3 linked regions of the Oryctolagus cuniculus genome follow. The protein of the gene in region 2 interacts with the protein of the main gene of each other region in a pairwise test. Links are inferred from orthologs where the notes say so. Each region holds a gene or a part of one and is shown on either strand. Other genes may lie near its edges. The genes, in order: PRAM1, SKAP1 and EEIG1.

The links.
Region 1: the proteins of SKAP1 (region 2) and PRAM1 interact in binary tests that used the Homo sapiens proteins (3 or more experiments, as listed by UniProt). The two-hybrid records come from large-scale screens. The link is inferred for Oryctolagus cuniculus from reciprocal best matches to the Homo sapiens genes SKAP1 and PRAM1.
Region 3: the proteins of SKAP1 (region 2) and EEIG1 interact in binary tests that used the Homo sapiens proteins (3 or more experiments, as listed by UniProt). The two-hybrid records come from large-scale screens. The link is inferred for Oryctolagus cuniculus from reciprocal best matches to the Homo sapiens genes SKAP1 and EEIG1.

What each region holds. Positions count from the first base shown.
Region 1 is NW_027208201.1:4,528,352-4,538,760, forward strand, and holds the start of PRAM1 (PML-RARA-regulated adapter molecule 1), read right to left. Parts: upstream 6,838-10,409; 5' UTR 4,211-6,837; coding exon 4,208-4,210; intron 2,894-4,207; coding exon 1,609-2,893; intron 1,527-1,608; coding exon 1,472-1,526; intron 1,393-1,471; coding exon 1,292-1,392; intron 1-1,291. Other genes in the region: ZNF414 (zinc finger protein 414), read right to left, coding at 7,066-7,139, 7,241-7,411, 7,851-7,901, 7,985-8,328, 8,671-8,776, 8,867-8,974, 9,216-9,498, 9,816-9,827. UniProt on the Homo sapiens protein: May be involved in myeloid differentiation. May be involved in integrin signaling in neutrophils. Binds to PtdIns(4)P.
Region 2 is NC_091448.1:24,414,853-24,424,892, reverse strand, and holds the end of SKAP1 (src kinase-associated phosphoprotein 1), read left to right. Parts: intron 1-4,620; coding exon 4,621-4,722; 3' UTR 4,723-4,759; intron 4,760-6,800; 3' UTR 6,801-7,113; downstream 7,114-10,040. UniProt on the Homo sapiens protein: Positively regulates T-cell receptor signaling by enhancing the MAP kinase pathway. Required for optimal conjugation between T-cells and antigen-presenting cells by promoting the clustering of integrin ITGAL on the surface of T-cells.
Region 3 is NC_091432.1:231,350,781-231,361,089, forward strand, and holds part of EEIG1 (early estrogen-induced gene 1 protein), read right to left. Parts: intron 6,585-10,309; exon of another isoform or gene 6,340-6,584; intron 6,159-6,339; exon of another isoform or gene 5,881-6,158; intron 4,077-5,880; coding exon 3,956-4,076; intron 3,572-3,955; coding exon 3,542-3,571; intron 1,839-3,541; coding exon 1,722-1,838; intron 1-1,721. UniProt on the Homo sapiens protein: Key component of TNFSF11/RANKL- and TNF-induced osteoclastogenesis pathways, thereby mediates bone resorption in pathological bone loss conditions.

The sequences.
Region 1 (10,409 bases), on a different chromosome or scaffold from region 2:
CAAAAAAAAAAAAAAAATTCTTGGACTGGCCTGGCTGATGAGATGGGGCGAGGTCTGACGGAGGGCCCACCTGTGCTACTTCCTGGCGAATGGCCAGGCTTCCAACAAGAGCCTCAGGAACCCCAAGTAGGTGAAGGATCCGGCTCCTGGAGCCCCAGCTTGTCCCCTCTGCCTGATGAAGCATCAACTCTGGACACTCGAGGCCCACGGTCCCTCCTGTCCAGGAGCTCACTGCGGGCACCTGTCATCCAAGATGCTGAGCTTGGCCTGTCCAGGGTCCCACCCAGAGCGCACAGTTCCTCCACTGCTCTTGCCTCAGCTGGCCCTGTTGTGTGGGTGGTCACCCAGGCACCCCAAGGGCCCTGCAGAACCCATGCACGCAGCGAAGAGCTGCCCCCGGGTCTGCACTGCAGGACAGACCTGAGCGGCCTGCTCAGTCCCTGCTGGAACTGCTGAGTGCTGGGGGTTGAGGGGAGGCTGGGGGTCCTGGCCCCACGTGCCAGGGGAAGGATGGACATGGCAGAGGGCAGAGCAGGCTTTGAGACTGTGTGCCCACAGCGAGGCCCGGGCAGCGCCACGAGCCAAGACCCAGGCAAGTGTGGTGTTTGATGGGAGTGGGGAGAAAGGGCAGGAGCATGGGGTACTGTGGGGTTGGGAAGGAGGTGGTGTGGGCCTGAGGCAGGCCATGACTGCAGTCTGCAGCCCCCAGACCCAAGCCACAGAGACTCCCCCCGGCGAGGAGGCAGCAGGGGTGCTGCCAGGAAGCTATGTGCTAACCCGGTGGAGCAGAAGGGGCCCAGGTTCCCTGCCAGGGCCTCTTCTGCCTGGTGATTCCCCGGCAGGAAGCCTTTCCCCACGCCATATCTGCCCCAGCTGGGTGGCCCATGGCCAGGCACTTGCCACATTCCCAGACATGCACTTCTATGATGCGGCCTTGACGTGGGGTTGTGCCTGTGTGAGCAGAGACTTGGAAGAGAGAGAACCCCAGGAAGGCAGGAGCGCCCAGGGGCCTGGCCAGAGAGCGGTGAGAGCAGCCTGCATACTGGGCCCACCACAGCCCCACCTGCCTTCAGCCCCTGTCCCGCCTGGACATCCCCACAGGCATCTCAGGAACGCCTGCTGTCCCCAGCCCAGCGTGTTCCCACTGCACGCAGGGACCCACCCGTGCCTTGCCTGAGTCGCCACCAGGTCCCGTTTGCTTCGTTCTGCTGCCATCCCGGCTCCTGCGCCACCCGGGCCACCCCCTGCCTGTTGTCCCCAGGCTTCCCTTCCTCACACAGGTCCCACTCACCAGCAGCTGGTGTGTCTGGCCTGTGGTTTGACCTGGGGCCCGGGCCGGTGAGGTCGGCAGGCTCCACGTTGTCGTAAAGCTCGTAGATGTACTCGGGCTCCCTGCAGGGATGGATGGGCAGCTGGGCTGAGGACCTGCTCCAGCCTTGCAGCCCGCACCTGGGCCCTTCCCCACACTTACAGCTTGGTGTCTGCCCGGAAACGGGTCCCAGCAGGAGAGCCTGTCCTCTGGAGATCTGTGGGAGAGAGGGTGCAGGAGGGAGGAGGAGCTGCCTGGGACCCTCAGCCCCTCTGCTGGGGCTGCCCACCCTCACCCACCTGTGGCTGCAACTGATGGTCTCCGAAAGCTCTGGATGTCCATCGGGCCTGGGGGCAGCGGGGGCTTGGCTGGAGGGGGTCCCAGGCTGCTGGCAGGAGGCAGAGGCCTCCTCCGGGGTGGGTGGCTGGCCCTGAGGCCTGACCTTGACCCTCCCTTGTGAGCGAGGTCTCCAGACCCCCAGCGGGGTATCCCAGGGACTCCAAGCCCAGGGCTGCTGAGCGGGAACTGGGGACAGGAGCCAGCAATGGCCGTGGGCAGCGAGCTCTCGGAGACGGAGCCTGGGAGCGCAGGCTTCCTGGGGAGTGCAGTGAGGAAGTCGGGCTGCAGGTGCTGCCTGGACGCAGCGCTGGGCTCCGGCTGGGAGAGCTTGCGGGGGCCCCCTGGCCGTGGTGGGTGCAGACACTTCCTGGGCAGCGAGCAGAACTCGGGTTCCGAGGATGTCCTGGAGAGGCTGTCCAGCCTGGGCTGCGGGGGCTTTGTGGAAGGCACTCTGAGCTCGGGCTGCTGCGGCCTCTTGGGCAGCACGCTGACCTCGGGCTCCGACGATGTCCTGGAGAGGTCCCCAAGCCCAGGCTGCAAGGGCTTCTTGGGAAACGTGAAGAAGTCTGGCCGCGGGGAGCGGGGCCGGGGCTCTTGGGCCTCCTGCGTCTGAAGAACACCACTGACCTCGGGCTGCGGCGGCTGCTTTGGAGGGAGGCTGGTGACCTGAGGCTGCGGGGGCTTCTTGGGAAAGGTGCTGAATTTGGGTTCTGAGAGGGGCCTGGCAGGGTTGATGGGCTGCGGCTGGGAGGACTTCAGAGGGCTCTCACCGACCTTGGGCTGCGGGGACTTCCTGTCTAGCTGTGAGAAATTCTTGGAGACATCACTGAACTCGGGCTGCGGGGGCTTCCTAGGGGGGTCTGCGAACTCGGGCTGCGGGGGCTTCCTGGGGGGGTCTGCGAACTCGGGCTGCGGGGGCTTCCTGGGGGGGTCTGCGAACTCGGGCTGTGGGGGCTTCCTGGGGGGGTCTGCGAACTCGGGCTGTGGGGGCTTTCTGGGGGGGTCTGCGAACTCGGGCTGCGGGGGCTTCCTGGGGGGGTCTGCGAACTCAGGCTGCGGGGGCTTCCTGGGGGGGTTGGCGAACTTGGGCTGCGGGGGTTTCCTGGGATGCTCGCTTGGCTCAGGCGGTGGAAACTTCTTCAGTTTGTTGAAGTCAGGCTTCGGCGGTTTTCTGGGGTGTTCACTGGGCTGGGGCTGAGAGGCCTGGAACCTGGCTTGGAGGCTGCGGAAGTCCTGCTGGCTCCCCTGGGGGCCATGAGGCCAGTCAGGCCGAGGTGGGCACCCAAGGAAGAGTTAAAGGTCAGGGGCACGCAGCCCCACCCCCACACTACTGTCCTTGGCCCTGGCTCTATTGTCCATTTGGGCTGAGATCGCCCCCTCCCCCCAGGCTCCTGGAGACCAACCACACCCTACTGACTGGTGCACCTAGGCACTGGGCCTGCCCCCACTCACCTCCAGCAGGTGGGAGGTGCCTTCAGAGCATCCTCCTGGACCCCCTAGTCCTTCACCCCCCGCGGGCCCAGTCCCTTCTGTTCCAGTTTTGAAATACATCCCGTAGCTAACCACTTCTCACCGCTTTCACCATGGATGGCGGGAGGAACTGTCCCCACTGCCAGGATCTTTCCTGGCCTGCAGCGCCAGACCCTCCCCCCAGCATCCCCGGCCAGTTTTCCTCCACAAGGATGTCCACGGGCTGTGCGCTGTGCGCGTGCAGCTGCTGGAATCCGAGCCCTGCCCGCCCACCCCCACAAAGTTTTGGCCGCTGTGCTTAGCAGCACAGCATGGCCGCTCACTAGGCGTTCACAGCCCAGTAGATATTCTGCTACGTGGGTGCATGGGTGCGCATGGCTTCTGTGCAAACCCCATGCCGTCTATAGAAGGGACCTGAGCATCCTCAGGGTGTCCGCAGGGCCAGTCCCTGGGGCTGTGGTGGGAACTCAGCCACAAACACAGGCACACTCCGGTCACACCTACGGGCGTCCAAGGGATGCTCGTTGTCCACAGGACTCCCACCACCTGGGGTCGTCTCGGATGCCCCGGGGACCCTCTCAGATGACCCCACACCTGGGCTCACAGAACTAGGCCTCGGAGGCTGGCTTCCCTCCGGGCCAAAGCAGTGGGGAGAGGAAGGGCAGTAACTGGCCTGGTTTGCCTCACTCGGGATCAGGCGTGTCCCTGGGAAAAGTGAGTCCTGCCTGGGGGCTTAAGTCAAGGCCTGCTGGTGACCACAGGGCTCCCCGAGTCAGGGTCGGCAGAAGCGGGGAGGAGTGGGGGTGCCTGACCCGCTTAGTCACCCCACAGGAAGCTCTGCTCCCTCTGTCGCTGCCTGTTCCCATGTTGTCAACTGAGGCTGAGCTGGGGAAAGGCCGGCTGCCGCCCTGAAGTCACAGCCGCAGCCCGGGCTCCTGTCTCGGGGGCTCCCCGCCCGACTATTCCTGTGTCCCCCGACCTCTTTCCCTAGCACCCGCTTCGCGTCTCTGCTCTTGGAACCCCTGCCTCCAGTTTCCACCTGCTGTGCCCCTTCCTCCCCAGCCTCTGCCCCGGGGCTGGGGGACTCACCATGTCTGCAGGCTGGTGATGGGCCGGGGCACCAGGCTGCTGCCTTCAGGAAGTGCCTGTGGCTTCTGCTCCCCAGGCCAGCACACAAGGTGGGGAGGGCAGAGGAAGAAGGAAAGGAGGCGGAGACGGCCCCGCCCGGCCTGTCCCCAGCCACCCTGACCTCCTTGCTCAGTGCATGGAATCAGCACATTCATATCACAGTCCTCTTTATTTTCATTTTTACTTTAAAAGCAGAATGACAGAGAGACAGGGATCTTTCATTCACCTGTTCACTCTCCAAATGCAAGCAACAGCCAGGCCAAAGCCAGGAGCCAGGAACTCCATCCGGGTCTCCCATGGGAGTGGCAGAGACCCAGGTACTTCCCAGGGTGTGCATTAGCAGGGAGCTGGAATTGGGAGCAGAGCTGGGACTCGAACCCAGGCACTGCCACGGGGGATGCGGGCCCAAATGCCCGATTCTGTTTTACATTTTTAATTGGCACATGATTGCACATATCTGTGGGGTAGTACGTGGTGTCTCAATCCACGTGTGCAATGTGCGATGATCAGGTCAGGGTAACTGGCATGTCCGCCAACTGGAACGTTCTGTCCCTGGTCTTTCTGCTGCCTCCTTGCTTCCAGTGGGAGCTCCTGGGGACTTGCTGCCCCCAGGCCAGCTGAGGCCGGAAGGCCAGGGGTCGGGGCATCCAGTGAGGAGGGGGATGGTCCCTGTATGATGGGTGAGGCCTCAGCTGCCTGCTCGTCTTGCCTAATACACCTTCCTCTTTTCAACACATCTTTGCAAGCCAAGAACTTCCCTGTTCTTGGGACAGATTTGCTGGGCTGGCGGCTGGGGGACCGCAGATTTAGGGGTGTGTGTTGGGGGTGGGGCGGGGCCATGATGTCCAAGAACTCGCCCATGGGGGAGCAGGGACATTCCAAGTTCCCTGAGATGGAAGGTAATGCAGAAGGAAGGATCCAGAAGGCAGTAATTGGGAGGAAAGCAAGGTAGGACGGCCCCTGGGAGGCTGGAGGAACCTGGGCCCTGTCCCGGGGAGGAAGGCTGGAAAGCACCCTCCTGGATCCTGTGTGGTCATGCGTGGAAATCGCCTGCGCAGCTTAGGAAACAGCAGAACTTCCAGTTTCTGGTCTGGGGCGGGGCCTGGACCGGGGTTGTTAGAAACCGCATTGGGAGATTGCAGTGCGCAGCTAAACAGCCACTCGGGGGCCCGTGGCTGGGTCACAGTTCCCAGATGTGGGTTCCCCTGGGAACTGGATTCTCAGGAGGTCTGGTAATGGTCAGGAGCATACAGTAGGCGCTCAGTGATGGCAGGCTAAACGCCTGACTGCCAGCTGACTCCCCAGGATCCATGTGGACGCCCCCAGCACAGAGCAGCGCAGTTTGGATGCCCAGGAAGCAGGCATGGAGCCCTGCGCCGTCTGCAGGGGCGGCCGCCAGCCGCCAGGGGGCGCGTCCACCACATTCCCCTTTGTGTTTTTGGTGCCTTTACGCGGAGCCGCAGAACCAGAAGCTGGAAGAACTGAGCTTGGGCCAGGGTCCGCCTTGGGGGAGTGGGAGTCCTCAGCGCGCCGCTGTGGGAATCTGCGGCGTGGGAGGGCTGAGCACGAGAAGTCGGGAGCCCGGGATGCGGGTGCTCGGGCCAGGATCCGCGGTCAGGGTAACCCGCTGGTGTGGGCACTGCCGGCTGCTGCACGGGCATCTGGCCGTGCCTCAACCCAGGCCAAAACGCCTGCTGCGGCTCACCGTGGTCAGTGGGAGCCTCCGATCTCGGGCCCACTTGCTTCTGCACCTGCGCAGGTGGGCGCCTGACAGGTCGCCAGACTCACGGGTTCGCCCCTCAGACACTCCCGGGCGCCCCCTGCCGGGCGGAACTCAAACCCCACTTAGGAGGACTCTGCTTCGGGTCCTGATGCTCTCGGAGCCCCTCTCTGACAAAGGTCACAGCTTTGTCCAGAGGGAGGGTTGGGGGGCGCGGGACTGCAGGGGACCGGGGGGCATTCAGGCTTGCAGGGGAGCAGGCAGAGGTCCGGCATGAGCGGGGAGGGGTAAGGACAGGGCAGCCAGGCCCTGACCCGGTGCAGTGCCATAGGGGAAAGACGCTCTGGGTTGCGGTAACAGGATGACCCCAGTGTGACTTCTCAAAATGGATGGGGTAGAGGTGGACTCAGACCGGGCGTCCATGAAGCGGGAGCCCAGGCAGCAAGGAGGGTCGCCTGGGACCCCAGCACTGCAGACAGCCCCCACCCCCACGGATGCCCCAGAAATGTTAAAATATTAATTTCTTTGGAAGGCAGAGAGATCGAGTGGGGGGGAGAGAAGAGCTATGCCCCATCTGGGGGTTCGCACTTCCCAAATGCCTGCAGTTCCTGAAGCCAGGAACGGGGAACTCCATCTAGGTCTCCCTTGTGGGTGGTGGGGACCCGAGCAGGTGAGCTCGGACTGCCTCCCGGGAGCTGCGGTGAGCAGCAGAGCTGGGACCCAGACACTCCTACAAGGGAGGTGGGGAACTTCACTGCTTTGCCAAATGCCGGTTCCCCACTCCCAACAACTTGAGAATTCGACCCCACCCAGGGATAGGGTGGCAGTGCACTGGAGACCTGGGTCCCAGGTCCCAGGACAGAGGCGACAGGGAACATGCGACATGGCTTGGCTGAGGGACAGGCCCTGTTTCTGTGCGACCGGCGTGAGCTGATGGGGGGGGGGGAGCTCTTGGGCTGCTGGGCTTTGGCCCCGTGTGCACTAGAGGGCAAGGGACCCAGACACAGCACAGGCTGGCTTATCGCGCCTCTTTTATTGTCCCCCACCTCAAATCACAAAACTCTTCAACTCCGCCGCCCGCCCCCCATCTCAGCCCGGATCAAAGAGGCGAGAAGACTGGCAGCTCCCCCTCTGACAGCAGCGGCGACGCACTGGGTGCAAGCGGGGCCGGGTCTGGGGTGGGGGGGAAAGGGGAGAAGGAAGCGCGTGAGCCTCGGCTTCGCCTCACCCCTGTGCCCCCCGCCCTCTGCAGCGGCGCTGTCCCCTGGCCTTACCCGCTGAGGCGTCGGGGCGCGGCCCGGACGCCTGGGCCGCGGGGGCGCCAGGGCGGTGGTCCTCCAGGTGCAGGGTCATGGCAGACCGCGAGGCCGTGGAGAAGGCGCACTGCATGCATGAGTAGCGGCCGCGCGTGTGCTCCCACACGATGCGGCCCGGAGCCGCGTGCCCTGCGGGCAGGCAGGCGGGACCCTATCAGTCCCGCGACCCTAGCCCGGGGGCGGCGGACGCGGGCGGCGGCTTGGACTTTTCCTCGCTTCCCCATCAGCTCCCGTGCGCAGGCGGCCAGGCCTAGCTGGATCCGTTTCTCCCGCCCGTCATCACCGCCGTAAACTCGGCTTATCCGCGGCCCCTGCGCCCACGAACCCTCGCAGGTGGGGAAAGGAGCGCTCCACGGTGATTGGGCGGGCGCGAGTTTCACACGGGAACGCCGGCGCAGAGGAAGGCGCAGGTGCCAGTGGTTTTTAAGGCAAAATCCTGTATTTCGGGGTGGCATTTTTTAGCCACCTGGGAACGGGACGGGCACAGATGCCTGCCAGTTTGCACTGCCCCTGCAGGGCGCAGGAAGGAAAGCCCCGCCAACCCTCCCTGGTGGTCACCTGCACGCACCTGAGGGCGCATCGGAGCCGCCCTGGGGTCTTCGGGGGCTGCCGCCAGCACCTGCGATAAAGGGGCGGGTCAGGTCCAGTCAGGGGGAGTCCAGCCCGCCGCTCCCTGCAGGAGGCCGCGCCCCCGACACTCACCTTGGCTCTTTTTCCAGACGGCAGCGCTGGAGGCCGGTGGCCCGGGCGCCGCAGCCAGGAAGGGGCGCAGGCGTGGGGGGCTTAGGCCGAAGGGCGCGGGGTTCAAGTAGGGTAGGAAAGGCCCGCTGGGGGCCGGGGCGGGGGTCGTGAAGGGCTCGAGCAGCGGGAACTGCAGGCCCGGCGCCGACGCGGGGTCAGGCTCCTGGGGCCGCTCAGGCGCTGGGGGCTCCTTGTCCAGGGCCGGGGGCGGCGGCGGGGCGGGGCTCTGCGCATGCTCTGCGCAGACATGCAGGTGCTTGAAGAGCGAGCGGTGCGTGCGGAAGCGCAGGAGGCAGTTTTCGCACCTGCGGTGATAAGGTGCGTGTGTGCCACCCTGTGCCACCCGGGGACTCGCTCTGGGAGCGTGCGAAGGGCCCCCACTTGCAGGCGCCGGGCTTCGCCAAGCACCTCCCGCCCACGACAGCCGCGACCCCTCCAGACTTGGAGCCCTGGCAACACGCGGAAGGAGGTCTCAATTTTAAGTTAGGGGGTGCGTTTTCCAACCACGCATGCTCCGCCCTTTCTCTCTCATGGGCAGCTCAGACGGGCGGGACTCGCCCGAGGCCACGCCCATCTCCTCCACCTTGGCACTAAGCGGGGAGGGCGAGGGGCCTGGCCCTCGACCCCGGGCTGGGTGAGGCTCTCACTTGAAGTAGCGGTTGGGCTTGTAGTGCAGCTTGCTGTGCGCCACCAGCTCCTGCATGCTGGGGAAGCTCTCGGTGCAGCTCGGGGCAGAGCAGCGGAAGAGCTTGCCTGGAGGGACGGAGGGCAGAGGGGTGGCTGAGGCTGGCCCCCCGGAGGGGTGGGCCCTGCCGGCCTCCTGAGCACCTACCCTGGCCCTACCTTCCAAGGACTGTGGGGGGGGGCAGTGCGTACGAAGATGCTGTGCCAGGTCCCGAACGCTGGGGAAACTGAGGCAGCAGCCAGGGCTCGAGCAGGGTATCTGCTTCCCTGCAGGATGACAGGACTGGGTGGTCAGCGGTCCCTTTCCCAGGGACACCACCAGCCACCCCACCGCCCCGCCCCTCCACCATACTGGGCCGCCAGAGGGTACACGGCCTGGCTGGTGCTTGGTCCATGGGCAAAAGCATCCCTCGGGCAGACCAGCTGGACCCCAACGTCCCACGTCTGCATTCCTCACTCCAGTGGTTCCCAGGCCCGTGGCTTCCCAGAAGGCCCCATCACAGGTCACCTGGTGCTGGGCGTCGTCTGGGAGGCCGCAGCTCCTCACTGGTCCCCGGGGCTGTGCCGGCTGGACCAGGGCTGGGTCCAGGCTCTGAGGCTGGGGAGGCACCCTGCTGTGTCCCTGCGGGCCACACTGGGGGCGTAGCTGCCCGGTCGGGGCCCGGCGCCTCCTCCATGGAGGTGGAGGCAGTGGCTGCCACCACCGGGGCCAACACCTCCTTGTCGGTGTCACTGGAGCTGGGCTCTGCAGTGGCCGGTATGTCCGGGCCGGGCCCCGACGGTTCCTCCTCCTGGTGGAAGGAAGAGGGGGAGGGAGCTCCTGTGCGCCCCAGGGAACCTGTCCCACGAGGCCCGGACATTTCTGGAACCCCCTTCCCCACCTAGAAGTCACCCTGGCACCCCCATTCTAAGGAGGCACCTACAAGACAGGGTGGGGGTAATTGTGCCCATGAGACACATCCCCAATTCCTAAGGCAGGGAAAGGGCGTGGCCCAGGAGGGGGTGGGGCCGCGGCTTTGAAGGCGGGGTTCTGGACTGGACAACCCTAGGCAAGATGCTGGAGAGGCCAGAAGCGGATTGTTTGAGGATGGAGACAGGCCCCGCCAACCTCGGGCTGCATAGACGGACGTGGAGCAGCTGAGGGCCCGGATATGCCTAGTAGAGGGGCGGAGCCCGAGCCCTGTGGGCGTGGCCGTGTCGAAACCAGGCCCGGAAGTAGGGGTAGGGCGATTGCCGAGTGACAGCCAGCTGCGGGCTGGTGCCCGGATGTGGGGGCGGGGTCGGTCGGAGGGTGTGTGCTTGGCAGGGACGCTCCCTGTCGGTTCCCGCTGCTCCGCCGCGCCCGCGCCCCCGGCGCCGCGCTCACCATCCTCAACCTGGCTCGGCCTCTCGTTTTCGCGGTTCCGGCGGCTCGGGCTGAGGAGGCAGCGACTTCCTCGGCGCTGCGGCCTCGAGCTCACGTCGGCGCCATTTTCCGAATCCCAGCTCTCGCGAGAGCGGGGGAGCGGAGCCTGCGCGAGGCGCCCCGCGAGGGGCGGGGCCTGAGATGGGCTCACCCTGGGCAGCCGCGAGGTCGCCGCTGTGGGCGAGCGCGGTTGGCGCCTTGCGGAGAACCGGCGATCGGGATGAGGGGGTCCCTCCTGGTCTCCGTGTCGTCGGCGCAAAATGGACATCCTTTCGGGCCCGTCCCGCCACCCACCCT
Region 2 (10,040 bases):
TCCCATCCCGCTTCCTGCTAAAGCACCTCTCGGGAGGCAGCAGGTGATGGCTCCAGCGCTTGGGCCCCTGCCGCCCATTGATCTGGGCGGAATTGCAGGCCCCTGGCTCATCCCTGGCTAAGCCCTGGCCGTTGTGACCATTTGAGGACTGAACCAGAGGATGGAAGATCTCTCCACCCCTCTGTGTGTGTGTCTGTCTGGCTGTTTCTGTCTCTCTGCTTTCCAAACGAAAATGAAAATAAATAAAGAAAAAAATGTAAAACATCCTGACAGTTGTAGGCTAAAGGATCCTGGGTAATCTCCCATAAGGCAGTGCAAACGGCACGAAGAAGTTGCCCTGGAGAAAGAACGGAATGAGAAAGTGCAGAATAGGAGGAAGTGGTGGGTGCATTCCAATATTTATTATTGATTTTTTTAAAAGGCAATTCATGGGGTGGGTGTTTGACCCAAACATTAAGTTACCTGCATCTCATGCTGGAGTGCCTGGGTGCTAATCCTGGCTCTACTTCCAATTTTAGCTTCCTGCTGATGTGCACCCTGGGAGACAGCAGGAGTGATGGCTCAAGTACTTGGGTCCCTGCCACCCAGATCGAGTTCCGCACTATGGGCTTTGGACTGGCCCCCTGCCCTAGCTGTTGCAAGCATGTGGGGAATGCACCAGCAGACAGAAGACCTCTCTCTCTGTGTATGTCTCTGTCTCTCTCTCTCTCTCTCTGTGTCAAATTTTAGAAAGAAAAAGGCATCTTGCTGCTCCCACAAGGATCAGGTCAGTGGCCTTACTTGTTGCGGCATTTGAGCCTCTCCTTGGTATTTAGGGCGCCATCCGGGGCGACTGTCTCCATAGGCAGTTGATCTCTTCCTGCCACAACCATTTCAATCAGCAGGGAAATAGCTTGGAGTTTGTTGTAAATAGATCTGCTCTACTGAGAGCACCAATTCCCACTGCCCCCTTCATTTCATCATAACCTCATTTAACAAGTATTTGTTTGGCCCAGTCTGTGCTGGGTACCACACTGAAGCTGAGAACACATCAGCAAACAAAGCGGCCCTCAGATCTTTGCACCTCGCGGGTGACAGCGAGACACATAGGCAGATGCGAGGCAGCACGAAGAACTCGTTCCCAGAGAAGGGCCTGGCGCTGTGGGCCCTGTGGACCTCATCAGAAAGTGGGGAGAAGAGGTTCCTGAGAGTAGGTGACTGTGGAATTGAGATCCAAAGGCTGCTGCGGATCAGGCTGAGGGAGGGCGCCAAGGTGAGAGCAGCTGTGGCTCATGGGCGTGGCTGAGACAAGTCCTGTTTTCCCAAGGGCTCGCCAGTGATTGACAGTCCTGGCCGGCGAGTGGGACCAAGTCATGCTGAGCCTTGTCTGTCTTGTCAGGAAGTTCAAAGGGGCGAGCATTTAACTCAGTGGTTAAGACAGCCACGTCCCACATGGGAGGCGCCTGGAGTTTGAAACCCGGCCCCAGCTCATGACTTCGGTTTCCTCCTCATGCGGACCCTGGAGGCAGCCATGATGGCTCAAGTAATTGGGTTCCTGCCACCCAGATAGGAGACCCGATTGCATTCCCAGCTCCTGGCTTCAGCCTGGCCCAAACATGGCATGGTGAGTATTTTGAGGATGGGAGTGAACTGTCTGTCTCTCCTTGTCTCTTTGTCTCTCAAATAAATCTTTTATTTTTTAAATTTTTTATTTTTTAAAATTTTTTTAAAGATTTATTTATTCATTTGAAAGTCAGAGTTACACAGAAAGGAAAGGCAGAGAGAAAGAGAGAGGGAGGTCTTCCATCCAATTGTTCACTCCCCAGATGGCCGCAATGGGCAGAACTGCGCCGATCCGAAGCCAGGAGCCAGGAGCCTCCTCTGGGTCTCCCATGCAGATGCAGGGGCCCAAGGACTTGAGCCATCCTCCACTGCTTTCCCAGGCCACAGCAGAGAGCTGGATCGGAAGTGGAGCAGCTGGGTCTCGAACCAGTGCTCATAGGGCATGCCAGCACTTCAGGCCAGGGTGTTAACCCGCTGTGCCACAGCGCTGCACCCTCAAATAAATTTTTTTAAAACCAAGAAGACTGTAGGAACCCACTGAAAGGATTCAAGCAAAGCAGTGATGTTATCAACGTGCATTTCAGAAAAGTTCTAGCTGCAGAATGAAGATGGGGAGTAAACAAGAATGCTGACTCAGAGAGCAGGTTTGGCAGTCCTCGGGAGAGCCGAGAGAGGACAATGACCCCGGGCATCGGTGAAGGGGGTGGAGAGCAGTGGGGAGATCCCATAAGGCTTTGGAAAGAGAATTTGCAGGGCTCCAGGGTTTACTGGGAAAGGCGGTGAAGCTGGGGGAAAAACTCCTGGGTTTCTGGCTTGAGTTACTGAGTTATACTGAGGAAGCAGCCACTCGCTGAGATGGAGAAAACAAGGGGTGAAGGTCGTCTGGAAGGGGAGATGGGGGTAGAGCAGATGGGGGGCACGTCGGGGACGTGCTGAGCCTGAGCTGCTTGGTGGACATGCTCTTGGATCTCGGGCCCCAAGCCCTGGGTCTGAGCCAGCCCTGGTCATGAGTCATTCGCACGGACGTGGAGCTTAAACCGCGGAGGTACATGCATCGCTAGAGGAAAGTGCGGCAGGTGACAGAGGAGGGCCAGGGCAGAAGCCTGGAAGACGAGCACAGCCGAAGCAGCGCGCAAGATGAGCCCACAAAGAATGAGAAGAAGCAACCAGGGAGGCAGAAGGGAGCCACGTCAGTACAGTCGTCATAGAAATTAAGAGAAGAAAATGCCTGAAGCAGGGTCAATAGTACCAGCACCGCTGAGAAATCAAGTAACTAAAGGACTGGAACGGACCGGAGGCTCCGAGCTGGGAGGAGACGGAGCGTCCGTGGGATGGTGGGAGCAGACGCCTGCTGAGAGCAGCCCGAAGAGCGAATGGAGAGGAAGGAAGGGGCAGCAAGTGGGCGCTCTCCAAGGCGTTGGCGAAGTGCAGTCGGCGAAGTCCAGCGGAAGGGGAACACACGTGCACTGCAGACTTTCACAGCCGCTTCCAAAGAGCTCAGAAGCTCAGACGGACTTCAGTGCGGATGGAAGGGGCCGTTACCACAGACCCCAGAGAACGCCGTCTCGAGAAGGAGAGGGGCGGGTCCCGTGGTGAGGGACAGCCTTGAACCAGGGCGGGGGCGCCTCCCCTCTTCAACAGGAGAGGGGCGCTGTCCGAGTCCTTGCTTTGGTGGCTGGAGGCTGGCGAATCTGACGGCCTGTTTTCTCTTGGCAGGTGGGGAAAAGGCACCTGCTGCCAGGGTGGGGGGCGGCAGAGCTGGAGGAGGGAGACACAAGGTCCCCAGTTGACGCAAGGGAGCCGGGGCCTCCTGGCTCTCCAACCTGCCTTTCGTGCCCTTCTTTTTCCTTCTACTAGAGCTCAGCAATTGTGCACAAGCAGTTAGTCCACCGTCCCTCAAGTCCAGTTCACCTGGAATGTACGTCCCGTTCGTCAAGTTCCGTGCTGATTTCCTGGAGCCCGATGGAGCTGCCCCCGTGTGCTGGGCGTTTGAGAAGCGCTCCCGTATTCAAGGAGCTCCTTCCTCAACCTCACGACCCCCCCTCAGCTCTCTTTTAAACCCTCGCTGGGGGCACTCCGTCCTTCCTGCCTGTCACTCTCAATGTCCCGCCTCTGTTTCTGCTTCAGCAATGTCACTTACACCCCCACAGCACGGGGGGGGCAGATTCCACCCTTGCTCCTACCCACCGAGGAAGGCAAGGCTGAGACAGCCTGAGGTCACGTGGCTCCTAAATGGCCCCGCAGGGATGGGCTCCCAGCCTGTCGGCCTCCAAAGCCCACTGTTCTATGCTGGGAGCTCCTGAGGGCCAAGCAGTGTTTGAGTTCATCAGCAGACCTCTCGCAGGAACCCCAACAGCACTTGCACGTAGAAGATGCTTGGGGGCCGGCGCCGCGGCTCACTAGGCTAATCCTCCGCCATGCGGCGCCGGCACACCGGGTTCTAGTCCCGTTCGGGGTGCCGGATTCTGTCCCGGTTGCCCCTCTTCCAGGCCAGCTCTCTGCTGTGGCCAGGGAGTGCAGTGGAGGATGGCCCAAGTGCTTGGGCCCTGCACCCCATGGGAGACCAGGAAAAGCACCTGGCTCCTGCCTTCGGATCAGCACGATGCGCTGGCCGCAGTGCGCCGTCCGCGGCGGCCATTGGAGGGTGAACCAACGGCAAAGGAAGACCTTTCTCTCTGTCTCTCTCTCTCACTGTCCACTCTGCCTGTCAAAAATTAAAAAAAAAAAAAAAAAAAAAAGAAGATGCTTGGTGAATAACAGTACTGATGTGAACTCTGAAATGACCTTCTGAATAGCGATAGTGTTCTCTGCACAGGGCCTACTCTTCTGTTTGGTTAAAAACATACAAAGCTCCTTAGGTTCAGCCATGGCGTCCAGTATGTTAAGTTTGTGATGTAGACAGGAAGCCAGCACCATGCAAACGTTTGCTCTCCCCTCCAGATGACGTCTGTGAATTGAATGATCCCCTCAGGGTATGCACTGTTCATACCGATGGTGCCAACTAAGGAGCCAATCACGGCAACAGATAGACAGGAGAAGGCCCGAACTCCAACTGAAACCGCCCTCTCTCCCCTCCAGGAGTACAACGTGTATGGCTGGTGGGTAGGAGAGCTCAACAGCCTCATTGGCATCGTTCCTAAGGAGTATCTCACCACGGCGTTTGACCCGGAGGAGAACTGAAGCCCAGGTTCCAGACCGTCATCCCTGAACCGCCCCGGTAGGCTGGAAACTGTCGGCCTGACTCACTTTCTCTGTGAGAGCTGGGGGGGGTGGGGGGGGTGGCTTTTCTCCGCTTTTCAGAAGCGATGCTCATGCTTCACCATTGAAAGAAAATGGGTCTGGAAGTGTTTTTTCCTGATTTGGGGACTGGGTCCACTAGGGTTAGGTTCCGCTAACAAATGACAGAAAATCTAAAATAAGAGGGACTTAATTAACACAGAAACTTTTTTCTCTCTCATCTATAAAACTCTAGAGGTGCAGGTCCCAGGTACCTTCTCTTTATGCTCCACTGTGCGTGCCCAACATTCTCAAGGTTACCTCATGGTCAATAAGGATGCTCCAGCTCCAGCTAACACATCCGCATCCTACCTAGCAAGAAAGAAAATTAAAGGAGAAGGGCATCTCCTTTCCCTTTAAGGACGTTTTTCAAATGTTGCGTGCCCCCCTCCACTTTTGCTCACATATTAGAACTTGGATCTGCAGACATACCACACTGCAAAGATGACTCTATTCTAAGTTTCCCTGTGCCCAGCTTAAAAGTGGGGGGTTCATTAGTACGTACGCAAAAAGAGAAGGATAGATATTGAAAAGCAAGTTGCCACAAACTCTGGGTTTCTGTGTCCCCAGACCTAGGGAACCATTTTGCTAAAACGGCCACACATTGCAACATGACTGGCCAAGATCAGGAAGCCAGGATGAGGGATGCTACAGGACATAATCATATTAACTTTGAAGTAATAAAGAATACGGTTTGTGTCTTATGAGCAAGAACCACACTATGTTTTAAAACAGTGGGAGTGAATGCTTGCTTTGGGCGCGATAACAGTAGGAGCCACTTTGGTGCAGAGTGGGTTTTGTTTAGGATTCAAATAGTGATGAAGGGCGCCCAAGACCGGCGCGATGTCTTGCGCTTCGTCTTCCAGCCGGAAGTGGGGGCAGCCCCTGTTGCTGGGGGCGAAGGATGACAGCCGTGTGGCAGTGATACAGAGCGTCCTTGGAGCCCTGCAGGCTGGGGCCCACGCCAGTGTGCAGCCACAGCTGAGTGAGTTCATTTAGGAGTGTACATAAGGATAGATCTTACTCTCCGGTGCCCTTGTACACCACGGAGTATCATCAGCCCGGGCCTGTTGCTCAAGGTTTGACTTTATGACTGTCCAAATGAGGGCTCTGCTTCCTGACCATGAAGGGAGAGGAGCTGGAATTTTTCTATCAAATCTAAACAGCTTCACCCTCCTTCACTCTGTCATTTGTTTAAAGTTGTTTATCTCTTTATTCTCCGTAGCCCAATAATTCTACTTGTAGGAGTTTCTCCTACAGCCATACTTGCACACATGTGAAATGCTATGCATAGAAGGCTACTTGTTTGTAGTAACAACTGATTGGAAATGGCCTAAATGTTCAAGTAATTGTAACACATTCATAAACTTGAATTCTATGCAAAAGTTTAAAAAAAAGAAATTATGAAATACATTCTGAGATATGTTAACAGCTTTAGAAAAAGGGGCCAGCGCTGTGGCATAGTGGGTAAAGCCGCCGCCTGCAGTGATGGCATCCCCTACTGAGTCCCGGCTCTCTGCCATGGCCTGGGAAAGCAATGGAAGATGGCCCAAGTGCTTGGGCCTGTGCACGCACTTGGGAGACCTGGAAGAGGCTCCAGGTTCCTGGCTTCGGATCGGCCCAGTTCTGGCCATTGTGGCCAACTGGGGAGTGAACCAGTGGATGGAAGCCCTCGCTCTCTGTCTCTGCCTCTGCCTCTGCCTCTCTGTAACTCTGCCTTTCAAATAAATAAATAGATCTTCTAAAAAAAAAAAAAGAGTAGGCTGAGTCTGCCCCATTTGGGAATGGAGGCTACACACACCTTTTTTTAATATATGTGTGAGCTGTTTCCAGAAGGAGAGAGAAAGGAGCATCGGTTGCCTTCAGGGACAGAAAAACTGCAGCACTAGGATGGTAACGACGGGAGACTTTCCACCCGATGTCCTTTTAGCCTTCTGTGTTTTGAATCATTAAAGCAAATGTATGCATCTCTCCCCCTTTAGGAAACATGTTCTTCTCTCTATCCTGCCTTTATAAAGAAACTGATCGAGAGCCTCAACTCCCGACCGCCAGCACCCCCTACGCCATCCAGAGACCCAAGGCACCTGGTGGTGACTGTCAACCCCCAGTGAGACGGTGGGGAAGCCACACCCCCCAGACCTGTTCCGAAACCAGCCTGGTGCTGACTCGGCCCCTCTCCACGCTGCTTCTCCACACGCCTGTGAAAAAGAAGGTGCAAGCCAAGCCCTAGGAGGAGAAGTTTCTTGTTGTTTTGGCTGATTTGAAAAGCACAAATAAACTTCAGGTTTTATTCTTTGCTGTGTGATGGTATTCAGTTCTGTTGTTGCTGTTGTTGTTGTATATGAGACGAAGACATTAAGGGAGCTCTCGTCCAGTGGTTCACTCCCCAGACGCCCACTGCGGCTGCGACTGAACCGTGTTGAAGTCAGGAGCGGGAACTCCCCCGGCTCTCCGTGGCTGGCAGGGACCTGAGCAGGTGAGCCATCACCTCTGTCTAGCAGGCTCTGCGTTAACAGGAAGCTGGAGTCAGGAGCCAGAGCCAGGGATGGAAGCCAGGCACTCTGACACGAGAAGCGGGCACCTTAACTACTAGGCCAGAAGACCCCGCTGAGTTCCTTTTTGTAATGGAATCAAAATGCTGTCTCTGGAAGTCTCACCACCGCCGAGCAAAGTGGGAGGGGACAGACAGACAGAAAACAGAAGCACAGGCCGGCACCGCGGCACAGTGGGCGAAGCTGCCACCTGCGACACTGGCATCCCATATCGGAGCGCTGGTTTGAGTCCCAGCTGCTCTGCTTCTGATCCAGCTCCCTCCTAATGCACCTGGGAAGGCAGCAGACGACGGCCAAGGACTCGGGCCCCTGCCACCCATTGGGAAACCGGGAGGGAGCTCCTGGCTGCAGACTGGCCCATCCTGAGCATTGCAGCCATTCTGGGAGAGAACCAAATGGAAGCTCTCCCTCCCCCCCCCCCTCTCACTCTTTCAAATAAATAAAATAAATCTTAAATAAAATAAATCAAAAAAGAAAAGCAAAGCCCAGAGAGAGCAGGACACTGGCAGTTGTTTCTCAGATCAGAATCCGCGCAGGAGCCCAGGCCTGCCGGTTTCCAGCTCGCATCTTGGGTTCCCTGTGGTTGGCTGTGGTTGGCTGCACAGCCGTGGGTTCTGCATGCGTGGACGCAAGCAACAGCAGATACAATCGTGTCTGTGTTGAACATGGGCAGCCTTCTTTCTTGCCATTATTCCCTACACAACAGAGAATAGCAACAGTCTACATTGTCTTCAACATTGTCAGTAATCTGGCAATGATTTAAAATAGACAGGGAGACGTGTGTAGGCTCTATTCAAATACTACAGCATTTTGTGTACGGGACTTGAACATCCACATGTTTTAGTAGCTGATGGGGGCCTTATGGGGAACCCATCCCCACTGATATCGAGGAGCAATTATTCTTATTTTTCAGAAGGATGTATTTATTTATTTATGTATCTGAAGGGGAAAGTGACAGAGAAAGAGAGAGCAATGGTCGGGCAGATTCAGGCCAAAACCAGGAGCCCAGAACTCCATCCGGGTCTCCTACGTGGGTGACAGGGGCGCAAGCACTTGGGCCATCATCCACTGCTTTCCCAGGTGCATTAGCAGGGGGTGCTGAATCAGAAGCAGAGCAGGGGCCAGCGCTGTGGCATAGCCGGTAAAGCCACCGCCTGCAGTGCCGGCATCCCATATGGGTGCCAGTTTGAGTCCCGGCTGCTCCACTTCCACTCCAGCTCTCTGCTGTGGCCTGAGAAAGGAGTAAAAGATGGCCCAAGCCTTTGGGCCCCTGCACCCGAGTGGGAGACCTGGAGGAAGCTCCTGGCTCCTGGCTTCAGATCGGCCCAGCTCCGGGAGTTTGGCCATTTGGGGAGTGAACCAGTAGATGGAAGACCTCTTCCTCTGTCTCTGCCTCTGCCTCTCTGTAACTCTTTCAAATAAATAAATCTTTAAAAGGAAGAAGCAGAGCAGCCAGGACTCGAACCGATGCTCCGATAGGGGCTACAGCAGCTCAGCTCACTGTGCCACAGCGCCAGCCCTTCCTTGATGGTTTCTTATGGACTGAATCTCCCTGAAACAAGAAAGAGCCAGTGGCCGGTGCTGCGGCTCACTAGGCTAATCCTCCGCCTTGCAGCGCCGGCACACCAGGTTCTAGTCCCGGTCGGGGCACCAGATTCTGCCCCGGTTGCCCCTCTTCCAGGCCAGCTCTCTGCTGTGGCCAGGGAGTGCAGTGGAGGATGGCCCAAGTCCTTGGGCCCTGCACCCCATGGGAGACCAGGAGAAGCACCTGGCTCCTGCTATCGGATCAGCGCGGTGCGCCGGCCGCAGCACGCCAGCCGCGGAGGCTATTGGAGGGTGAACCAACGGCAAAGGAAGACCTTTCTCTCTGTCTCTCTCTGACAGTGAGACCTTTCTCACTGTCCACTCTGCCTGTCAAAAAAAATAAATAAATAATAAAAGAAAGAAAGAAAAAAAGAGCCAGAGGCAAGGTCCTGGAGTCAGCACGTGAGTCAGCACGTTGGAGAGCTCCTCTCCAGGCCTTGGGTTGGTTAACTATCCCACTGTGTCCTGCGCCCCAGCTGGGGGCTGAGGGAGGCGTTTGAGGCAGGCTAGCGATCACAGGTCTCCCTGTTCCCCTCTCCTGTCGCCTGTTCCCGCCACTCAGGTCATCTGCATGCTGAAGACACAGCAAAACATGGCTAAGGATGGAGCTCCAGAACCAGACAGCCTGGGAATAAATCCCAGCTCCCAGATCACTGTGTTCTCTCGAGCCAGATGTTTGACCTTTTATGCCACAACTTCCTCACCTTAGAAGGGGCAGACCCTATCTCACTGAGTCACTAGGCAATAGGAAGAGCAAAGGATTCAATAGGTGTAACACTCTCGGAACAGTGCCAAGCAGAGTAACTGCTCAGTGAAGGTTAGCTGTTGTTACTGGCTGGCCCTCTCCACGAGAATTTTCCAAAGATACGCAACAGAGCAACGATCGAAACGTCACTGCAACACAAATGTCATTGCTGAAACCGCCTGCTCAGCGCGGTCCTGGATTGGTACTAAGCTTCCTCGTCTCTGTCGCAACCAAACTGAAGCCCTGGAGTAAGAACACATCTCCATCACTCCCAGAGGGAAACCAGGAAGCCAACAGGGGCATCCGTGGGCTCCAAGTCTCTCAATAAAGTATTTTATGTC
Region 3 (10,309 bases), on a different chromosome or scaffold from region 2:
AATAAATCTCAATAAAAGAAGTTAGGGGGGTGCAGGGGCCCAAGGACTTGGGCCATCTTCTACTGCTTTCCCAGGCCATAGCAGAGAGCTGGATCGGAAGTGGAGCAGCTGGGACTGGAACCGGTGCCCATACGGGATGCCGGCACTTCAGGCCAGGGCTTCAACCCACTGTGCCACAGCGCCAGCCCCTTGCCTTTTGTTTTAAGGTTTATTTGAAAGACAGAGTTACAGAAGGAAAGAGGGGGCCGGCGCCGCGGCTCACTAGGCTAATCCTCCGCCTTGCGGCGCCGGCACACCGGGTTCTAGTCCCGGTCGGGGCGCCGGATTCTGTCCCGGTTGCCCCTCTTCCAGGCCAGCTCTCTGCTGTGGCCCGGGAGTGCAGTGGAGGATGGCCCAAGTGCTTGGGCCCTGCACCCCATGGGAGACCAGGATAAGTACCTGGCTCCTGCCATCGGATCAGCGCGGTGCGCCGGCCACAACGCGCCGGCCGTGGCGGCCATTGGAGGGTGAACCAACAGCAAAGGAAGACCTTTCTCTCTGTCTCTCTCTCTCTCACCGTCCACTCTGCCTGTCAAAAAAAAAAAAAAAAAAAGAAGGAAAGAGGGATAAATAGATAGAGATCTCCCATCTTCTGGTTCAGCCACAATAGCTGGGCCAGGGCCAGGCCAAAGCCAGGAGCCTGAAACACCATCTGGGGTCTCCCTACTGGTGCAGGGGCCTAGGCACTTGGGCCATCTTCTGCTGCCTTCCCAGGCCATCCGGGGAGCTGCACCGGAAACGGAGCAGCCGGGGGGGCGGGGGGGGTAGGAGGCTTTCTATGCATCGCTTCTTGGCCTGGACAGCCGCCGCAGAGCAGTGCCGGCCCCACGTGGAGAACAAGGAAGCGGAAGCAACTGCTCAGGACCCTGCGGCAGGACACAGGGCAGCCGGCCTCGCCTCCGAAACCCCCTGACCCACAGGCCCCGGGGTCTGGCCTGGCTAAGGGTGCGTGGGCCCAGCGCGGGGAGGCGGACAGGTGCTGCGGCTCAGTGCCACCGGCCTGGGCTTTTCTGGTGCCTCCAGTTCTCTCTGCAGAGGGTCACAGAGGCCCTGGGCCCGTGGCCCTGCGGCCCTGCACTGCTTCTGCTTAGAGGTCTTGTCTCCATAGCCTGTTTTCCCCACCAGGGAAGGGCACACAGACAGAGGAAGTGAGGTGTTCTGGCTGTAGCCACCCAGACACCTCTGCTGCCAAGAGGCCAGAGAGGCCGCTGCCTGGGGCACGGGGGCTGCCTCCGCCACCGGAAACCTGCACGTGGCCAGCAGGGCGGGCAGCCGCCCATGCACACCCAGGTCTGGGAGGGCAGGTTCCTCCACTTGCTGCTGCTGCCAGGGGCCAGGCGGCCTGTGTCACGTGAGGCCAGGCCACCGAGTCAAACGGCTTGGAGGTAAGTGCCAGCTCTGCTCGTGACCCAAGGCCATGAACCTGATCCAGGTGTCTCATGGGGCTACTAAGACACCACACCCCTCAGGCTGCTGGGGGTCACGAGGTGAGACAAGTCTTCAGCACTCTGTGATCCCGCAGGAAGTGCACGCCAAACCCGGACGGTATGATGGCGTCCACCCCGACCACGGGTGGGGAAACTGAGGCAGGCGCCCGGCCACACCTGCAGTGTCTCTCACTGCCTGTGCAGGTGAGAGCCCGTCTGTCAGCCCCAGCAGCCGGGTCAGCAGGTCCCGGGTACCTTGAGGATGGAGTTGTCCTGGCGCGTGTTCTTGGTGTCGTAGCCCTCCAGGAGGCAGCAGCGCACCGTGGAGCCCGAGCCTGCAAACTCGGCCAGGTTCAAGTCTGCGAAGCCCAGCTGGGGGGAGGGGGAGGACAGCGTGGGTGCAGGGCTGGCAGGTGCCCCAGAGGGTTAACTCGGCAAAGCTCCTGGGCCCGCCCACAGCCCTGACTGAGACTGACTGTTGCATAACCAGGACCCAAGGACAGAGGCCCGGGTCGCAACGTGGCAAAGCCAGGAGCTCACATCCCTGAGCCGCACAAAGCAGCCTTTGTGCCGCGTCCCAGTGTGCACCGGGGCCAGCACGCCTGACATGAAAAGACATTGTTGTCTGTGACACAGACGCATTGTTCCCCAGGAAACAAGGCCGTGCTGTGGAGCAGGCGGGGAGGAGGGAAGGCCTGTGGGAACCTGATGGCGGGCAGGGGCGAGGGGACGCCCCACGGAGGGGGCTCCGGGAGTAGAGGGGAAGGGACACTTGGCCGGGCAGGCGGGCACCCCAGGGTCATCCCTTGGAGGAGGTGGGAGTGAGGATCTGGTGGGCGGAGCCGACATCTGGACAGGCCGTCGGGGACTCAGGCTGCTGCTGACACTGCGTCCAGGAGAGGAGCCAGGACAGGGAGGAAACCCAGGACGCAGCCAAGCTGGTCAGACTCACAGGGGAAACAGCAGAGGTGGGGAGTGCCAGGCTTGGGCCCTGCGGGATGCTTCCTGGTGCCTGGGAGTAGATTCGGACCCCAGCCCCGCCCCTGCTCACAGAGGGACCTCCCCTTCACGGTGAGGCAGGGCAAGTGACCCGACTTAACTGGCAGAACCAGAACTGACACGGGCCACGCCTGCCACCTCCCGGGGCCTCGATTTCCTGCTCAGGGTCCAGGGCCAGCAGGGCCTGTGCCGGGGGCTCTCGTGCAGAACAGAGTGGCGGGGGTGGGGGGCAGCGGGGTCTGAAGTGTGCTAGGTGCTAGTCAGTGCCAGCCGGGGAGGCCCTGGCTGTTTGCTGGCAGCTTCTCTCGGCCGCCTTCCCCTACCTCAGCCACCAGGAAGGGCGCTCTCCACTGTGACAGCTCTATGGCCTGGGGCAGAGGGCGTAGCCCAGCCCGGCGCCTGAGCTGGGGCCACTGGGGTCACTAGGAAGGGTGCCACCCTGGGCAGCACCGCCCCAGGCGTCCCCGCAGAGCAGCGGAGCAGGAGGTGAGACTGAGGCACTTCCTGTCCTCCGCAGGGCGGGCGTCCTCACAGCCAGCACCCGGGGAAGAGGTTGACAGTGTGGGCTGAGCCGTCTGTGTGTGTGTGTGCAAACCCACGGTGGGCCTGGCTGAGCCGGCGCTGTCACCAGCCACGCAAGGGGGGGCCGTGGCTGCCCTCAGCATGTGCACACGGCAATCTGCCTGCACGAGAGGCGCCCGTCACGTGACAGGTGGGAAAAGCCCGCTGCAGGAATCGCGCATCTGCGCATCTTACGAAGTCACCACCCGCCCGTGCACACGAGGGCAACCACAAGGCGCGCCTCCTACGGCGCTCGAAAGCACCACTCCGTGTGTACGACGGGAAATCCCTAAGCGATGCCGATGGAGGGGTCCCACGGGGGCCTGGCGGAGGAGGGCGCGGAACGCAGCGCCTGGGGACCCCGCCTGTGTGGCGACAAGCACACGCTGCCTTGTGAGACTTCCAGAGAGGGATACAGCTCAGGCAGGGCTGTGTCCTGCGGGGGCAGAGGAAGCCACACACTCTAGAAACTACTGCCCTGCCTGACCTGGGCCGCCCCTCAGGGCCCCTCTTACCTTGGAGTAAGCCTTCCCGCCTTTCAGCTCCTGCACGGGGAGGGAGACACAAGCGACAAGGTGACCAGGGAATCCAGAGACCTCAGGGTGTCCCCGGTCCTCCCAGATACGAGTGCTGGTGAGGACAAGACAGGGGCAGAGGAGCCGGCCCTGCGGCGCAGCCGGCGTCCCACGCGGGCACCAGCTCGAGTCCGGCTGCTCTGCTCCCAACTGAGCGCCCCGCTGACGCAGCTGGGAACACGGGGCCCTGCCACCCAGGTGGGAGCCCCGGGCCCCGTTCTGGGCATCTGGGGAGTGAACCAGGGATGGAAGCCTGTCTCTGTCCTCTGCACTTCAAACAGTCTTAAGAACGGAGTGGGGCAGAGCGCCTTCCTCCATCCTACATGGGGAGGACCCACACCCGCCACCGCTCACCTTGCGCACGGACACGCGGCAGACGCAGGGATCCAGCAGGCCTGTGGCCGGGTTGGCGCTCATCTTACACACGAAGGTGAACCTCTTCCGCCACCGGACACAGTTCTCCTGCACCTCCTCCCTGCAGGCCAGAGGGGGACGGGCACGGCGTGGTCAGTGCGTGGGCCCCTGGGTGAGCGACAGGGCAGGGGCCCGGCACCTGCAGGAACCAGGGAAGAGGGGCTCTCGCCTCACTCTGTGACGTAAAGGGACTGCTTTCTCACAGAGCTGTGCTTCTGTGGTTGTAAAACACAGCAGAGGTACTGAGAAGCGGAAGCCACGGGGGAGTCAGGGAGGACCGCAGGCCTGGGGCAGCGGCACCTCCTGGGAGCCCCCAACCTCTGCGCCCAGCACTGCCCCTCCCCCAACTCTGCTGTGACCTCGGGTGCTTCCTTCCACCTTCATCTCGGGGACCCTGGGAGTCCTCCCAGGCTGATTCCTATCAGCCCATTGTGCAGATGAAAAGACTGAGGCAGGCGAACTCCCCAGCTGCAGGCAGCCAGCCAACGGCGGGGCTGGGCCCGAACCCTAGTTCTTCATCACAGTTCCAGCAGCCACCGCGCACATGGTGCTTTCCCGACAGGCGTGGGTGGTGCCCTAGGCCTGTAGCTGGACACTGCTGGACCCGCCCATCCACGGGTCCTGCAGGCCAGGCGTCCAGGCCCCATGGTCCACGAGCTGTTCTACAGCTTCAGAAAAGCCAGCAGCAGAGCCTGCCTCATGGACCCTGCAGCTTCCCGCAGCAGCCCGATCCCGGCTGGAGAACCCAGGGCTCTGGGGGCCCACGGCAGCCTCCCGCAGCAGCCCGACCCCGGCTGGAGAACCCAGGGCTCTGGGGGCCCACGGCAGCCTCCCGCAGCAGCCCGACCCCGGCTGGAGAACCCAGGGCTCTGGGGGCCGCGAGCCTTGCCTGCGCCCACCGCAGGGCTGATCCCAGGCAGCCTGGCTCTGGGTGCTCAGACAGCAAAGCGGGGCCCTGGCTTCCCCCAAGTCCCACCTGGGCACGGAGCACCACCACACTGGAAAACTCGGCACCCTTTAGCCCCTTTAACACGAGGCCTGCTGTGCCCTGGAGTGGGTGTGAGAGGCTACGCAATCCTCTCCCAGCAGCTGTGGGAGGTGGGATCCCGGGCAGCAGCTCCCCGGCCCCCCGCGGCCTGCCTGACAGAACAGCTCAGGAAGGGAGGGGCTGTGTGAGAGGCCTCGTCCCCAGCTCATCCCACCCAACTGGACAGCTCGGGAAGTGACTTCTCTAACCCAGGGTGACCCGGGAGTGCGGGTTAACCGCCAGACTGGGGCTGAGGTTGGAGGGAGCCACGGTCACCTCCCCAATGACAGCGTGTTTGCTTCTCAAGGCAGCCTCTTCTACAGCTGAGGGCAGAGGGGCCGAGAGACCCCCGCCCCTGACCCCCATCACGCTCCTACGGGCTGAAAAAGCAGGATGGGAGCCAGGACTGTCTGACTCAACGCAAAACTCTCAGCCAGTATCTCCACTCACACAGTCCTGGGGCCTGGGAGAGCCTGGCAGGTGCACCGCGCGGAGGGCGTGGGACCAGCTGGGTGCCCAAGGCACCTACCCGTGTCTGTGTGGAAACCACTAAACACAGCTGCCACGTGACCCACCAATTCCACTCTCAGGGGAACACCACAACTCACACCACACACATCCGAGTTCCCATAGCAGCCTGAAGGAAAAGCAGCCCGATGTCTACCAGCTGGGGACCAGCTAAACACAACGTGGTCCAGCCACACCACGGAGCAGTGTCCGGACAAGAGCCCAGGCAGCCACGGGTGCCACATGTGATCAACCTCCAAGAGGCGCTGTGCTAGGTCAGGTGTTTCCACGACACGCCCAGGGCGTGCAGAGCCACAGGGCAGAGGAGGGCGGCGGCTGCCGGGGGCGGGCAGGGTGGTTAACGGCACAGGACGCCTCTCTGGCCTAACAACAGGTCCTAAACACTGACTGTGGGGATGGTGGCCGCTCTGCGGATGGACTGACGACCCCCTGGACTGTACACCGTGCGGGCTGGAAGGTGACCTCTGTCACAATGAAACGACTCCTCTTTTGCCTTCAAAACTACGTGGAGGACAGATACACAGGAAAATGGAGAGCAAGGGCAGGGAGTGCCAGGCAGGGATGAAGAGGCGATAGCCACTGCTTCAGGTGAGTGGACGGGACGGCGTCAAGGCACTGACATCTGAGCGAGGCGTGGAGAGAAGTCCTGGGGCGAGAGTGGCCGGATGGGACAGGCGCTGTGCCGCGCGCGGTGGGCTAAGCCTCCGCCTGTGGCCCCGGCATCCCATGAGTGCCGGCTCATGTTCCGGCTGCTCCTCTTCCAATCCAGCTCTCTGCTGAGGCCTGGGAAAGCAGTGGAGGATGGCCCAAGTGCTTGGGCCCCTGCACTCACATGAGAGACCTGGAAGAAGCTCCTGACTCCTGGCTTTGAATCGGCTCAGCTCCAGCCACTGTGGCCACTTGGGGAGTGAACCAGCGGATGGAAGACCTCTCTCTCTCTCTCTCTCTCTCTCTCTGCCTCTCCTCTGTGTAACTCTTTCAAATAAATAAATAAATCTTAAAAAAAAAAAAAAAGGAAAACGCTGGAGGAGTGGACAGAAAAGGTGAAGGGCCTGGGGGCAGACACACTCGGCAAATGGAAAACCAGCAGAAGGCACCTGGGGAGAGCGGAGGGCAGGGGCCGGGTGAGCAGCAGGGGCCGGGTCTACGGGCCTCAGGAGCCTCAGGGCGGACGCTGGATCTGAGAGGGCTCGACTGTCTCCATGGACTGCAACTTAGGCAGAAGCCACGAGCAACCACAGAGGCTGCAGACAGAGGGGCAAAGCTGGAGAGGGGAGAAAACTGGGGGTGGCTGTGGAGTCCATGTGGACCCCCAGCCCCTCCCCCCACCCCTCCCAGAGCCGGCAGCAGCCATGGAGAGCCGAGGAGGAAGCTGTGTGTTCCGGGCGTGTTGACACACCAGGGATTAGGACGGGAGTCTGTGAACAGAAGCCCAGAGTGCGCTGGGGCTTCCTCCCGCCCCTCGGAGGCTGCTGTGGGAATGGCCGACCAGGAAGCCCGGGCCCATTTGTGGTTCCTGTCCGCCCTGCTAGGCCGGGCCGGGCAGAGACAGCCACATGGAGCCCTCCCGGGCTCAGGTGACGGGCGGGTTCCCTCCCCCTGGGGAAGTGAGCAGGGCAGGGCTGGAGGATGGGCACGGGCTGCACTCCAGTTCCCATAGGGCTCTCAACTGTCACCTGCTCCGTGTCACCGCTCCCACAGGACACAGCAGCAGCCCGGGCCAAATACATACCAGCACAGTGGCCACTTCCCACGGTGGCTGCCACCACGGCTCACACACGCTGCCAAGCTCGCCCGCGGCAGCACGGCTGTCCCGCCCCTTCCCTGAGCCCACACCGCCTCCCCTCACAGCCAGCGCTCCCACAGAGGAAGCTGGGTCCCGAGCAGAGGGTGGAGCTGAGGGCAGATGAACACGGGCCTGGGGCCAGGGCCAGGTGAGGGACGCGCCTAAGAGGGGGGGCGGCCGGTCAGCTGGAGCCCCGGGCTGGAAGCTGGCCAGGCCATCCCAGGGACCTGACTCTCAACACCTTTAACTCAGCCCCTCCACACGCCAGAACTGCTGAAGGCGCCCTGGACGGCAGCGGTCAACCACACGGACAGCAGGCTGCACTCGGCTGAGAGGCGGCAAAGGCCCAGCACTGCGAGAAGGAAGTGGGGAAGGGGGTAGGCACTGCTCGGGCGGCCAGGGAAGAGCTTAATGGAAAGGTGACATGGGAACAGAACACTGGGGGAGGGAGGGTGAGCCACACGGACACCCGGGGAAGAGCCATCGGGGCACGTGCAAAGGCCCTGAGGCGGGCACGCACTCACAGGTGAAGGAGGGCACAGGGCTGGTGTGGCTGGAGCAGGGAGTTGCGGGGGGAGGGGGCTGGAGAGGAGTCTTGGCCCAAACTCACAAGGGCCCGTGTGGAGGTGCCAGCAGCCACAGGTGTCCACGTGTGCGTGTGGCCACAAAAGGAGTGGTGACACCTGGGCAAAAACGAGCACAACCCCGATGTGTAACGGGGGCCGCCCAACAGCACCGAGGGCAGCTGCCCAAAGAAGGGTCAGAGACCGCCCCCCAGGCCACAGGACAGACGTGGGCGGGGACCTCCGACAGGACCACGCGTCTCCTGAAATAAAACAGTGGCAGCCGCGAGCGTGCAGGTGCACAGGGGACACGGGAGGTGCCCGAGTCACCACCCGCCAGGGCCCGTGGTGGCTGGGGCTCCTGGAGACAGAGGAGGGAGGACAGAGACGCGTGGGTGGGGAGAGGAAACATTACCTCCTTTTTTCTCTCCCTGGTCCAAGTATCAGTTGCTTTTTAATTTCTTTTAAAGTCGGCCAAGCCAAGAGAATTAACTGGCCTACCAGTCCTGGGGATGGCAATGTGGGGAGAGGCTGGAAGGCCATTCTGGGGAACAGTCCCTGGGGAGCACAGAGGCCACCCCAGCACCACGAGACCCCAGGGAGGGGGGGATGACCAGAGGCCCAGGAGCCACCCGTCCCAGAAAGAGGGGAGTGTGGAAAATCTACAACACTCGAGCAGCCCTGAAGAAAACCGTGGATAAGGTGTTCACTAGGAAAACAGGCCAGGCCCCGGGCCAGATGGCAGAACCCTCAAGCCCAGAGGGGGCGACAGTCTGTGCCCAGGAGGCCAAGACCCCCGGGTTCCGGCAGGAGGCTTCTCACCCTGGGTGAGGCCGAGGGCAGGCTCGCCGAGGCTCTGATGCGGGGGTGGGAGTTGTCTCTATACTCAGAATTGAAGTAGAAACAGGAGAGCGCTTAGGTGCTGGCGACCAGGAAAAGCTACCCTAAGCCAAGGCTCCAGCCCGCGGCCTCCCCAGGCACCGCCTGCGGGGTTACCGTGGGGCACGGGAGCTGCTGGCAGAGTGCGCCCGTGTCCGTTCCTCCCTGGCCTGGGACTGCAGGGCGTGCTCCCCTGGCTCCCCAGGGCTGGGGACAGGTAATTACAGAGCCTGGGTTCCGTTTTTAGCTTCAAGATGTACAATTAGACGTGCGAAGCCAGCGAGGTAGGGCAGGCCCTCTACCACGGCAGCCGCAGTGGCTGTCACCAAGGAGAGTCCAGCTATTTTCATGCAGCCCTGAAATACAGCGGGCCACTCCCCCCAACTAGGCTGGGCTCCTCCTCACCCCAGCAAGGCCAGCCCAGTGCTGGGGCCACCCTCTGGCCTGGCCCAGACAGGCCATCATGATACAGCCAGGGTCTGGGCGCTGGCTCAGGGTCACAGGAAGTGCGAGCAAACCTCCTGGAAGGGCCCCCTAGTGGGGGTGGGCAGGGGGCAGTGATGTCAGAGCTAGGAGCGCAGGAGGAGGGTGTTGTGGTAGCGGAGCCATCCAGGGGAGGAGTCAGAAGGAAGGAAGCAGAGGGCCCCAAGAAAGGCCGAGAAGCTGCGGGGGGCTGAGCTGACCAGGACGGGGTACTGAGGCACCTGGGGAAGCCGAGGGCCATGTGCCTACCCCTGGTGTGCTCACAGCACACCTCAAGGACAGGATCGCATCTCCTCTGTGTCAGCCTGGTTTCCCCGGAGCTGGGCAGAACGGGGCAGTACGGGGCCAGCGCTGTGTCCTCCCTCAGGGCCTGCTGCTGGGCATGGGCTCATCTCACTACTCAGCAGTCAGAACAGCTCCTGGGGCGGTCACAGGTGCCCCAGCACCTGGCCACGCCCATTTCCTCAACAAGCAGACAGGGGCCCAGAGCCCCAGAGCAGCAGGGCAGCACCCTTGGTAAGTGGCCACCCTGGTCGAGGACACAGCCTAGCAGGCTCCTGGCAACCAAAGAGGCCTTGAAGGCCATGCACGGTGCTTCCTTTGGCCTCTTGGACAGCGAAATTCGCTTCCAGCAGGAGTCTGTCTAGGCTCCACAGTCAGCTCACCGCTCCTTCCCCCCAGCACCTGGCCTAGGCCAGCGGCACTGCCCACTAGTAAGTACAGACACCAGACCCCAGAGCCCAGCCCTGGGTCTCTTATACGCAGGTGACAAGGGGTTAGGGCTGTGGGAGTCACTTCCTGGCCATAGGCTGCCAGGAACCTGCAGGCCCATGGGGCCTCCTCCCAGAACCAGAGCCAAGGTATGGGCACAGCTGGCACTGTCACCCAGCAGAAAGATAAAGAAAGGGAACCCTGGGTCCTAGGGAGGCAGGCAGCCAGGGTGGAGCCACGGTACAGCCCCCAGTGTGACCTGCGACCGTCCCGTTCGCAGCAGCACCTGTCCGTCCACAGTGTGCCCAGCCCGGACC